Oryctolagus cuniculus: one gene and its partners. The protein of the gene in region 2 purifies or fractionates together with the protein of the main gene of each other region. This does not show direct contact. Links are inferred from orthologs where the notes say so. Each region holds a gene or a part of one and is shown on either strand. Other genes may lie near its edges.

Region 1 (3,742 bases), about 46 Mb from region 2:
GGAGCAGGAGTCAGGTGACAGGAAGGACAAATGTGGGGGGGTGCAAGGACGTGGTTGGGGCACAGACGGAAGATCTGGGAACTACTGGCCTGAAGGGCATGTGGATAGCCGGCACTGAAACAGGCGGCTTACCCCTTCGGGTTTAGGGCCTGGGAGAGCCCCACCTCACTGTCCCAGGCCAGCCTGCCCTCCTCCTCTAGAAGGGGAGCTGTCACTGAGGGAGTTAAGACTCACCCGAACCTCAGCCTCCCGGGGCCTCCCATTGAGGTCGCACTTGGACCCGTTGCCATAGGTCTGGCTGTGGTAGCGTTTCAGGCGATGCTGCTTGGAGGCCTGGAGAAGACATCGGGCCGCAGGGAGAGGGTGTGAGAAAGACGGCAAAGAGAAAGGATGGCACCCCGTCCCTGCTGGGACCTTGAGACCTCAGAACCCTGGCCCTAGGGCACTGGGTCCTAGTGGCCAGCAAGGCCCTAGAAAGTCGTCGGTGAACCTGACCCTCCCCTTCTCTCCAGATCTTTCATCCTGCAGCCCAAAGCCCTTTCTCCTCCAGGCCCAGGCTCCCGCCACCTTGGCTGTTTCGTCATCCCAGTCGAAGGCCGATTGGTAGTAGCCGAGATACAGGACTTCACCTTTGATCTCTGAATCTGCAAGAGAAGCCACAGGGAAGCAGTTACTGTCTTCTAAGAGGAGGCAGCGGGAGGAGGGCTGGGGAGGCGGCCACCTTCCACACAGGGGAAACGGACGAGCGAGTCACCTTCCATGTGGTACTGCTGGATGTGGCGTCCATAACAGAACTCGTACGTCCACCAGTCTTTGGTCTGCCAATTACAAAACGAAGAATGGGTGGGCCCAGATGCAGATGTCTCTTCTCGGAACCAGCCCTGGGCTCCAAGACACATAACCTCTTGTCTACTTCTCATCTCCCTCCACCTCCACGCTCAATTCTCCAGCCCCTCACTGAGAAGGAAGAGCTGTTTTCCTTCTGTGACACAGAGAACCCCAAACTCTGTTCTCTGCCTGGGATCTCCCACCTTTTTTGTTTTCTTCCAGATTTTGTTTTTAATCCTTTGCCTTCCATAAAGATAAGGAATCGTGTTATCCTTGAAGCACTCAGAGCAAGTCAACTAGCACTCCTGGCACTATGCTAAGCACCCGGAAGGCAGCCATGAGCAAGACCAAATGACCTCATGGAGCCACATTCTAGAGCTTGGGAGTCAGACCAAAAATAAACAAACTCATTCAGTTAATATTCATCTCCTGAAAAGTGCCATTATAATAAAAAAAAAAAAAAAGTGGGATACTGTGACGAGTGACAGAAGGGGCTGACTGCAGGAGGTAGGCTTCCCCGAGGAGCCGCCCCTCCTGTGCCACAGTGACACCTCCTAGTCTGAGATCGGCCGTCCCGTGTCTCAGGTTGCAGGAGTCTGCTTCTTTCCTGGCTGTGTTACACGCCCACAGGTGACCACTCCCGGCCTTCTAAGCTCCTACAGGTTCCCCAGGTCCCGCTCGCACTCGTTGGCACCGCAGCTGTCAGAGCGGCTGCCGGTTCCCAAGCCCGCGCTCCGTCCCCACAGGCCGTCTCACCTTGAGCAGGCAGGGAGCATCTCTCATGGGGCTCAGCAGCTCCGGGATCCCAGGCCCTTGGTACGCGGGTGTCTCCTCCTCCCTCTCCCGCTGGAAGTGGATAGCTCCAGCGGGCAGGCGACACTCGTAGCGCTGTTTGTACTTGGAGGAGACGATCACCACGTCCGAAGCTTGGTTCTGGGAAAGAAGGGAAGGTCGGGGGCTCCGACGCAAAGAGAGGCTGCGATTATAGAAAACACCCGGATCCCTCTGCGGACCCTGGGGAGGAGCCCAGGCGGCTACAGAAGGAGCCAAAAGGCCTCCGTGGTCTGGGGGGCACTCCCACTTCTCCACGGAGGCGGAGACTGGGTGTTGCACCGTGAACCCCGACCTGCAGGCTGACAGCTGGAACTCCTCTCCCCCCAGGCCCCGGGCCCCAGGGAATGGGTCTCAGGCTGCGATCACCAGGAGTCACTGTAACAGCCCTACCTACTCTTCCCGATCCCCTTAGGCTCCCCCCAGCCTCCGCACCTGCCTTTCTTTCTCTACCTTCTCTCCTCCTTCCTCTTCTACCTCGGACCCTCACCCCTCACACGCCTTCTCACCTGCCCTCCCAAGACTGGCAATGGCAGGATCTCGATTCCATAACGCATTTCACTCAGCTCCTCCAGGTTCAAGCTCCCAACACCGCCGGTCAGACTTGCAGGTAACAACAGCCCCAGAAGCAGCAGCCCCAATAGGCTGGACAGCAGCGTTTCCGCCGCCATCTTTCGTTCCCCTTCTTAACCAGAGAAGCTCCTTCCGCCCTAAACCTGGCAGCGGCCTCACCCCTCCCACTAGCGCCGCAAGTTCTCATTGGCTACACGTTCTGTCCCTCTCACGTACCTGATTCCCATTTGTAAACGTGGCTCCAAAGTTCCCGGGGAGGTGGACCACGACGATTGGCACAATCAATCACTGCGCGTGATTGGCCAGAGATGCCAACCAATCAACGACGAGATTAGACCCCCACCCCTTATTCCCCCAATTCCATAGAGGCGTGGTCTTGCCCTGGGCGCTTTTTGGCAGCTTTTCGCTCTCCTCGGCCAGCTGTCCCGCGCATCTCTGCTTAGCGTATTTTTTAGACGTTTCATGCAAAGTGTCCCGCCCCGCGCAGAGCGGAGTACTGGGGCTGACGGATAGGTGTGTGCGATACCCGTGGAAGTTAATGAACACTTTTTGCGAAACAAGCGATTATTAGAATCATACCTCATTTCATATATACACTACTTCAGGGCAATCAGGTAATTTGTGTCAGACTTTCTGCACGATCCTGCAGTTGTTCTCCAATAAAATGATCCTAAAGGAATCACGGGAGCTGTCAGTGAAAGACGGAGTAAGGTGCTAATGCACGTATTATTGTAAAAGAAAAAATAAACACACACCAAAGAACAAAGAAGGAAAGGAGGCAGATGCAACGTCTGCGAAGCTGGAAAGCCGGCAGAGGAACGGCAACCGGCTTAGCAGAATGAGAAAATCGGCCCCTAAACAAAGGTAAACATGAGCATGGTGCCGCTGGAAAACGTTCTCTGGGGAATTTCTCCAGCACAAAAGGAAAATCCCAAAGAGAAGCTGTCGCAGTGAGGCACACAATCCCACAGGCAAGCCCCAGCCCTGAGCTGACTCCAATCTGCTTGTTGACCTCCTCGCTCTTAACACAGCCAGGCAGTGTCCTTAGACGTTCAAGGAAGGACTTTAAAGATACAAGAGAGAAACAAAACCAAGCAAGCAAAGAGAAAAAAAAGCAAATTAAAGGTAATAAAGATTAGGGGAGGGCAAAAATAAGACAAATATTTTAAAATTTAAAAACCCCACCATCTGTAGCCTCAGAAAGGTGAAACAGTGTATCCATAAAATGACAATGGAAGCTGGTTTTTTAAAGATTTATTTATCTGGCCGGCGCCACGGCTCACTAGGCTAATCCTCCGTGGTGCCGGCACACCGGGTTCTAGTCCCGGTCGGGGTGCCGGATTCTGTCCCGGTTGCCCCTCTTCCAGGCCAGCTCTCTGCTGTGGCCAGGGAGTGCAGTGGAGGATGGCCCAAGTGCCTGGGCCCTGCACCCCGTGGGAGACCAGGATAAGTACCTGGCTCCTGCCATTGGATCAGTGCGGTGCACCAGCGATTGGAGGGTGAACCAACG
Region 2 (3,742 bases):
TTAACTGCGAAAGTAAACAAGTATGCCAATCCACAAAACAAAGTATCACCCTAACCCAGGCTGCTTACCTCTTTATTTTTATACAATGAATTGATGATAAGTTTCATCATCCTGTTAACTTCAGCTTGGAAGGCAAACTTCTCAGATTTCTCTCTAAGTTCTCGTATTTGGGATGCATTGAGTCCATCCAACTGAATGGCTTCTTCCTCTCTAAGGAAATCAGGTAGGCAAATACGGCATGCTTAGTACCTTTAAAAACACAGCCTCTGTGCTGACGGCTCAAGTGGCCCCTGAAGACTGTCCTGAGGGTTAGACGGGTAAACGGAAGCCTTCCAAGACGACCACCAAGTACCAGCTCCTCTGCTCCCAGAGGGTCACGCCGAGATTCTTAAATTGCCCAACTTGACCAAGGAGCAGTCATACCCATACCCACACTGCTCCACGGCAGAGACTCCACTGACAGAAACCCGTCAGAAAACCAGTCAGTGCACGCACTCGGCGAGTGCAAACCCCACTGCAAGTCTTCTCTCAGGCCTTACAAAGCTCAAGGGGCCAGCACTCTGCACGGCAAGTCAGCAAAACAGTTTTCAAAGGAATTCATCCAAAGCTCACGCTAAGGGACTCTTAGATAATGCGTTACACCTCGCTCCTGCTAACACTTTCCTGCCCAATGTGGGAGCATTAGCTTTAATGGGGATCCCTGGAGCCCGCGGCGCTGCCGACCAGCACGGACCTCTGTACGACCTCGTCGTCCGTCCTCGACCCTTCCCTGCTCTTCCCCAGATCCTCTTCCACGGTGCCGTCCACGTCCACCTCGTCGTCGGCCCGGGCCGAGCCTGGGGGACAGCGAACACGGTCACACAGGGCAAGGGCAGGGATTGCGAAACACGCGCGGTGCACGGGGGAGGGGGAGGCGGGCCTTGCGCGGCGCCCCCACGGAGCCCCCGCGACTCGCGTGGCTCAGGGCCCCCGCCACACGTGCTGCGCGCCGCCGCGCGGGGCTCCCAAGCAGACCAAAGCCCAAATCCCGGCCTGCCCCGGCCCGGGTCACAACACGAACCAGATTCGTGCAGCCTCTGGCGAGGGGGCTTGCAATCGGGCCTGGACCCGCTGACCCCGCCGACGTCTAAGAACGGAAGCGCGCGCACGACGGAAGCCCGGAGCGGGGCGGGGGCTCCCCAGGCTGTGGCTGCGGACCGGAGCCCTCCGGGAGGGCAGCCGGGGAAGGCAGAGCCCAAGGGAGGCCCCGCCCGGGGCGGCCCCGACCGCCGGGCGCGGACCCACGCGGGCTGCGGGGGATTTAAACGACTCCGTCCTTTCTTTTCTTCCCAGAGCAGCAAGAGCGCCAACGTAGTCCCCTCGGCCTCTTTCGAGGAAAGGCGATGGCCCCGCTGGCCCGCCGCGGGCCCTGGTACCCCTCCCCAACGCCCCCAGAACCTTCGAGAAGCGGCCGCGCCGGGGGGGGGGGTGTCCGGGCTCCAGGATCACTCACCGAAGGTCAGCAGGACGCAGCAGAGGCCCAGCACCCACAGGGCCCTCATGGCGCGCGGCCGGCGGGTATCAGGTCCCTTTTGATCGCAGGAGCCGCCTCCACCCCTCCACCCCAAGCTCCGAGCCTCACACCTCAGGCCGCGCGGTCCGCCCACTACACCGCAAGCAGGTCAGGCCGCTTTTCACCCCCACTGCCCGCGGGCGGGGGACGGGAAACACGAATCCACCAATCGCACCGCACCACGCACCCCAGGCACCCAATGGGGACTCGCGGGGGGGACCACAGTCCGCCAATAGGAGCTGTCCAGGTGCGGTGCCCGATGCCCGAAGCGTGGCTCCCTCCGATTGGGCATGGGTAACAGCTTTTGTCCAATCACATACCTCCGCGGGCCCCTCGCACGCGGAACCGCCCCTTTGCCTGGGAAGCCTTAGCATCTAGAGGAAATCGTCCAATGAACGTAAGCTCCACACACGTCCGTCCTTTTTTGAGAGGTCGCGGAGGAAACACTTCCGGATCCTAGAGAGCGTGTATTCCGTGACCAGGGGAAACGGTAGCCATGACAACGGGTTCTTCACACTTTGGCGTCTACACCCGGGATCCCGTTGGGACCGAATCCAGCGCGACTTCCAAGTCACCTTTCTATTTGTCAGTGCTTCTCGGAGAAGCAATACGTGAGAGATTGAAACCCCCCTGAAGGCTTTCGGGTGGCTTGTTGGTGGTGAAGAAACTACATTTCCCGGCATGCCACACACCGAGGGTACGCCGTGTTGGATGCTGGGAATCGTAGTTTTTTCCTCGCGGGCTATAGCTGCGCAGTTTGGGTCTCTTCTCCCCCACTCTCCTCGCGTGTCTTTGCGGGAACTCCGTCCTGCACGTTTTCGAATTCACATCTCGTTCTGACCGCAGTAGAGATTCGTGCGTGTTGCAGGACCCCGCAGCGGACGCGCTTTCAGAAGTCGCCGCGCTTCGGCGGAGGCCGCCTCCGGCTCGGGAACGGCGGTTTCCCAATCTGGCTGCGCGTGCGTCACCGGGCACCCCAGTCTTCCTCGCGCCTGCCTGATGTGGTTTAGGGCAGGGGGCGGCGTGGGTTTCCCCCGCTCTCCTGAGGTAAACTTTGGGCGACCCGGGCAGCCCGCGAGCCCTCGCTGCAAGTCGGCGGGAGAGCACGGGGCCGCCCGGGTTTGCATAGAAAAGGAACGCCCCGCCTGCAGGAGCGCACACCTGCCAGTATTTGAAAGCAAAACCTTTCGTGGGTGGGGGAGTGGGGACAAGATAGCAGCTTTGTAACTTCGTAGAAATACCCCGGCCGCCCTCAGGGCGACGTGAAACCCCAGGTGTCTCTCCGCGGAAGTCGCCCACAGGTCTCTGGCGCCTTGGGACCACCTCTCCCGCTGCCCCTAGCCGGGCCCCTCTCCCTCGCTGCTCCCTCCTTGTTTTCGGGAGATCCTCCGCATTCCTTGAAGACCGGCTTCCGCTACTCCCACTCTGAACTCTGGTTGACACCTGCGCCTCGCGGGGCTCCTTATTGCTCCGCTTTTGTTCCTAGTAAGCAAAAGTAGCTTACGAAGCAGGTTTTACGCTTCTGTGCTGGCATTTTTTTTTTAAAGTCTACTAGAGTGTGCATCGCATTCAGAAATCTCAAGGGTATTTCGTTGTGTTTTCACTGATTTTTTGGTCGTAGAAAATGGGTTCTTCCTCTCTTCTGGGCTTCACAGCTCAGCTCCTTCACCTTTCTCTCTACTTCTGAGCAGTCCTGAAACTGCAAAAGCCATGTGACCGGGCAGTTCGCGCTGCACCTGGAGGGAACCGAGAGTGAAATAGAGCCGCTGCGAGTGCCTGGATGTTTGTGCAGATGCTGAGAATTCACGAGGGGGCAGAGCCGCAGGCTGTGGGCTGGCCACGGCGAGACTGCCTGGGCTCTGCCGTGCTCCTAGGGGTGCGCAAGAGCGGCTTCGGGCCCAGCCTCGCCCCCTCGGGCGGTCTTCCCGCCTCTCTGACTCCTAACGGCTACCCATCCCCATTCCTGCCCTGTGCGGCTCCTCCAGAACGGGCCCTCCCCGCCTTTGGAGCTGATCTCTTGATTCTTCCTGTGGTGCATTTCCATGGATACCTTTGTTGTGGTTGCTGCTAAGCTTCCGCGTAAGCACCGCTCAGCCCAGGAGGCAGTGACCTACCTTGTGTTCCGACTGGGGCGAACACCGGGTGGGCCGACAGGTGCGGTCAGTGCAGTGGGGAGCTCTCCTGGTAGGC
Region 3 (3,742 bases), on a different chromosome or scaffold from region 2:
TCTACGGGTCCCTCTCCTCCTGGGTGCCCCGGAGCCCCGAGGGCCACCCCGCCATCTCACCTGCCAGAGGTCCAAGCCCAGCACGGCAAAGCTGTCGTAGGCATAGATGTTAGCGTCGGGCGAGTACTCGGGGTTGTCGATTTCGGGGTGGATCCAGGTGCCTTTGTAATCGGGGTTGTCGATCTGCCGCGGCTTCCACTCACCCTGTGTGTGTGTGTTGGGGGGTGGGGAGGATACACAGAGGGGTGAGTGGAAGCGGGCGCGCGCCCCACGGAGAGCCCCCACCTGCCCAAGACCCCGCGGCACACCTTGTACTCGGGGTTCTGAATCACCGGCGGCTCCCACTCTCCGTCCATTTCTTCGTCCCAGTCTTCGGGCTTCTTCGCGTCCGGGTCGGGGATGTGCTCGGGCTTGTCCCAGTCCTGGGGGGTCGAGACCCGTGCGTGAGGCCAGCTGAGCACACGCCCCGTGCCTGCCCGCCACACACGTCCCCCACCCGCCACACGCTATCTGCCCTGGGCCCCAGCAGCCACCTCGGGCTTGGAGTCCGTGGGGTCGTCGATCTTGGCCCGCTCGTCCCAGTCTTCGGGCTTCGAGGCATCTGGGTCCTTTATCTTCTTGGGGGGTAGGAAGTCCCAGTCATCCTCCAGGGAGCCCGACTCCACCTGGCTGTTGTCAATCTTCACCTCATACGTGTTGTCCGGCCGCACGATCAGGGTGTACAGGTGTGTGAACTCGTCGTCCTGGGGGCGGGCGGGTGGTGAGCGGGCCCCGCCCACCCGCGGCCACCGCTGCCCGGGCCACCCCTCTGGCCACACCCACGGCGGGGGGCAAGCACCTTGCAACGGATGTCCTTGTTGATCAGCACGTTCTTGCCCTTGTAGTTGAAGATGACGTGAACCTTCTTGGTGCCGGGGCCACAGATGTCAGGACCTGGGGTGGGGGAGGGGACAGGGAGTGGGCTCAGTGCCCCCACCCTCTCTCTTTCCAAAAGGGAAGACATCTCGCCCTCAAACACAATCGGCTCCAGAACTCAATGAGGAAGTCCCCGGATGTGAGCACCAGGACCTCCGCTGGCTGCAACCCAGTCCCTTAGGTGTCCCCCCCAACCCCAGGGCCGTCTGCAGGCTCTCGGGGAGCCCCGCGGGGCTGGCCGGCTCAGGGGTGCGTCTCCGCCCCTCACCAAACATGATGTTGTACTCAGAGTCCCCGTGCATGTCCTTCTGGTCCAGGCCGGCCGGAAACAGCTTCACGTAGCCGCCCCCGCAGTCAATGTTCTGCTCGTGTTTCACGGTGAACTGCACCACCAGTGGCTGGCCCTTGTTGCTGAACGGCTCGAATCGGGCCGACAGGGCGTAGAAGCGGGCGTCCTGGCTGGTCTGCAGCCCTGGGAGGGCACGGGAGCGGGCGGGGTCGGGGTCGGGGTCAGGGTCAGAGTCAGATCCCAAGGACCCTCCCTAACACACCCCCTGCACCTGCCCTGGTCCTGCGGGAGAGGCGCTAACCACTGCTCCTTCCAACAAGCCGAGCCCCACGCGACTCCCGGGCACCTCACCTTTATCTTTCTCCTGATCGCCGTAGAACTTGCCCGAACTGAGGACGAATTTGCCAAAATCGGACTTGTGTTTGGATTCGATCCAGCGCTCGGTCCACCCATCTGAGAGGAGGTGGGGGGGCGTCACAGGGGCAGGGCAGGCCGACCACCCTCTCTCCCCCCACATCCCCAGCGCCCATCCATCCAAACACCTGCCAGGAGCTGCAAGGTGTGTGCGGTGGGGGGGAGTTAGGCAGGAGCGGCGATCTCCCCCCGGGGTGTCTCGAGGCAACCTCTGGGCGAACCCCAACTCCCGCCAGGAGCGGCAACTGCGTCCCCCACACTCCCCCGGGGAGGCGAGAGGCGGATCGCCCGCGGCTCCGAGTCCCCCGGGGCCGCGCCGTGTTGGTCCTCTCGGAGCGGTAATTACAGGGCCGCGCGCACCGCGGGCCCGGGCTATGGGGGACCCGGGCGAGCCAGGGCCCCGGCGTTACCTCCGTCCAGAAACTGCTCCTTGAAGTAGACGACGGGCTCGGCGGCGGCCAGGCCGAGCAGGCCGAGCAGCAGCGGCACAGGGAGCAGCATGGCGGGCCGAGGGGGCGGCGGCTCGCGGGCCCTTTAAAACGATCCTCCGGCAGCGGCTCTGCAGTACGGACGGACGCCGCCGCCGGCTGAGGGCTTTTATACCCGCCCGCCCCCTCACACCAACCTGACCCGGCCTCTAGGCCCGCCCCGTCCACCTTATCATTGGTCTGCAGCCACCGCTCTCCCTACCCATTGGGTGACGGTCGGCCCAGCACGTCAGGTTGTGCCTCGGAACGCTGGGTTCCCAGATGGCCGATTTCTATTGGCCGCATAACCGGCCAATGACGGTCGACCACGCGTTGTGGGGGACGCCTACTGGAGGGGTGGGGGCCGCGAGCCCCCGCTCCGGGCAGGTCACGTGACTGCACCCCAGCCGGACCCCGCCCTCGGCGGCTCGCGCGCGCTTCGGGCTCCCCACGGGGCGCTTTGGAGACCGCGCGCGGGCGCAGGTGTCCGGGCGCCGGGACCCTACCCCTATCCCGACGCGTGGCGGCCTGGGCAAGGCTCTTCCGTCCCGCTGCCTGCCCTGCATGTGGGGGACCTGCGTTCAGACGTGAACTGTTTCTCCCGCCCAGCTTGGGGCCCCCCTTCCGCGGGGGCTGCACCCCGGTGCCCCTGGCACCTGTCAGCCAGCTGCTGGGTGGCCCGGGGCAAGTCGCTTCGTTTCTGAACTCTCGGTGGTGCACAAAAGCCAGGGGTGGCGACCTGGTGCAGATGCTATCTGGTAGGAAACCTCTGTCAAGTTTGTTTTTTTAAAGATTTTTTTTTTCTTTTTTACGGCTGTGCACGCGCAGAGGGGGCGGAACTGCAAGAGGGGTCAAAGAGGAGGCTGGAGGCTGTGGCTCCCCTAATGGCAGTCATGCTCTGCCGGTCGTGGAAAGGGGCTTGTAAGCCGGGGTCTGCAGCGCCCGCACCCTCCATGGGCGCCGGTTCGAGTCCCGGCTGCTCCACTTCCGATCCAGCTCCTTGCTAATGTGCTTGGAAAAGCAGTGGAAGATGGCGTGGGCACGTGGGTGACCTGGAGGAAGTGCCCGGCTCCAACCAGCAGATGGAACATGCCCCCCTACCCCGGTCTGTAATTGTGACTTGTAAATAAATAAGAAAAAAAATCAAGCGGGTCCTCCCTTCTTGTGGTCTGCCACAAACAGCCTCGCTTTTGCAATTAAACGGCCATAGGCGAGAGGGTAGGGGTAGGGGGTTCCCTTTGGGAAGGGGGGGGGAAGACACAGACGGTAGGGAAGATACGGTTCTGGGGGCGTGGGCCGGGCTCCTGGGTCTCCAGGGGCATGGGGGACCGACAATGCCTTTCCCTACCTCTCCCTTCCCTGCCCGTGGGGGAGACCCAGAAAGAGGAAGAAAGACAAGTGGGGGGGGGGACCTGGGGGCTCTACTCTTTCTCCCAAACAATAGCATCCCACCTGCTGCCCCCCCCCCCCCCCCGGAAGATGGCCAAGTCCAAGTTGACTCCCAGGCCCACTACTGACCTGCCCAAGACACGTGGGTTTGGAACTTCCTGCTGGAGGGTGGGGACTACCCATCTTGTTTCCTCCCAACTTAAAAGCTACTTGCTAGGGGGCTGGCGCTCTGGCACAGAAATCTAAGCCTCCCCCTGTGGCAAAGGCA

Evidence for each region.
Region 1: the proteins of HSP90B1 (region 2) and OS9 purify together in Homo sapiens (affinity purification with mass spectrometry; 6 studies listed by BioGRID and IntAct, with this or other methods). This does not show direct contact. The link is inferred for Oryctolagus cuniculus from reciprocal best matches to the Homo sapiens genes HSP90B1 and OS9.
Region 3: the proteins of HSP90B1 (region 2) and CALR fractionate together in Homo sapiens (co-fractionation; 4 studies listed by BioGRID, with this or other methods). This does not show direct contact. The link is inferred for Oryctolagus cuniculus from reciprocal best matches to the Homo sapiens genes HSP90B1 and CALR.

What each region holds. Positions count from the first base shown.
Region 1 is NC_091442.1:60,274,578-60,278,319, reverse strand, and holds the start of OS9 (protein OS-9), read right to left. Parts: upstream 2,394-3,742; 5' UTR 2,331-2,393; coding exon 2,169-2,330; intron 1,762-2,168; coding exon 1,585-1,761; intron 819-1,584; coding exon 755-818; intron 645-754; coding exon 568-644; intron 334-567; coding exon 235-333; intron 1-234. UniProt on the Homo sapiens protein: Lectin component of the HRD1 complex, which functions in endoplasmic reticulum (ER) quality control and ER-associated degradation (ERAD).
Region 2 is NC_091442.1:106,766,784-106,770,525, reverse strand, and holds the start of HSP90B1 (endoplasmin), read right to left. Parts: upstream 2,382-3,742; 5' UTR 1,542-2,381; coding exon 1,493-1,541; intron 837-1,492; coding exon 734-836; intron 211-733; coding exon 69-210; intron 1-68.
Region 3 is NC_091447.1:62,399,686-62,403,427, reverse strand, and holds the start of CALR (calreticulin precursor), read right to left. Parts: upstream 2,177-3,742; 5' UTR 2,120-2,176; coding exon 2,029-2,119; intron 1,658-2,028; coding exon 1,556-1,657; intron 1,388-1,555; coding exon 1,184-1,387; intron 934-1,183; coding exon 839-933; intron 744-838; coding exon 534-743; intron 423-533; coding exon 309-422; intron 205-308; coding exon 61-204; intron 1-60. UniProt on the Homo sapiens protein: Calcium-binding chaperone that promotes folding, oligomeric assembly and quality control in the endoplasmic reticulum (ER) via the calreticulin/calnexin cycle.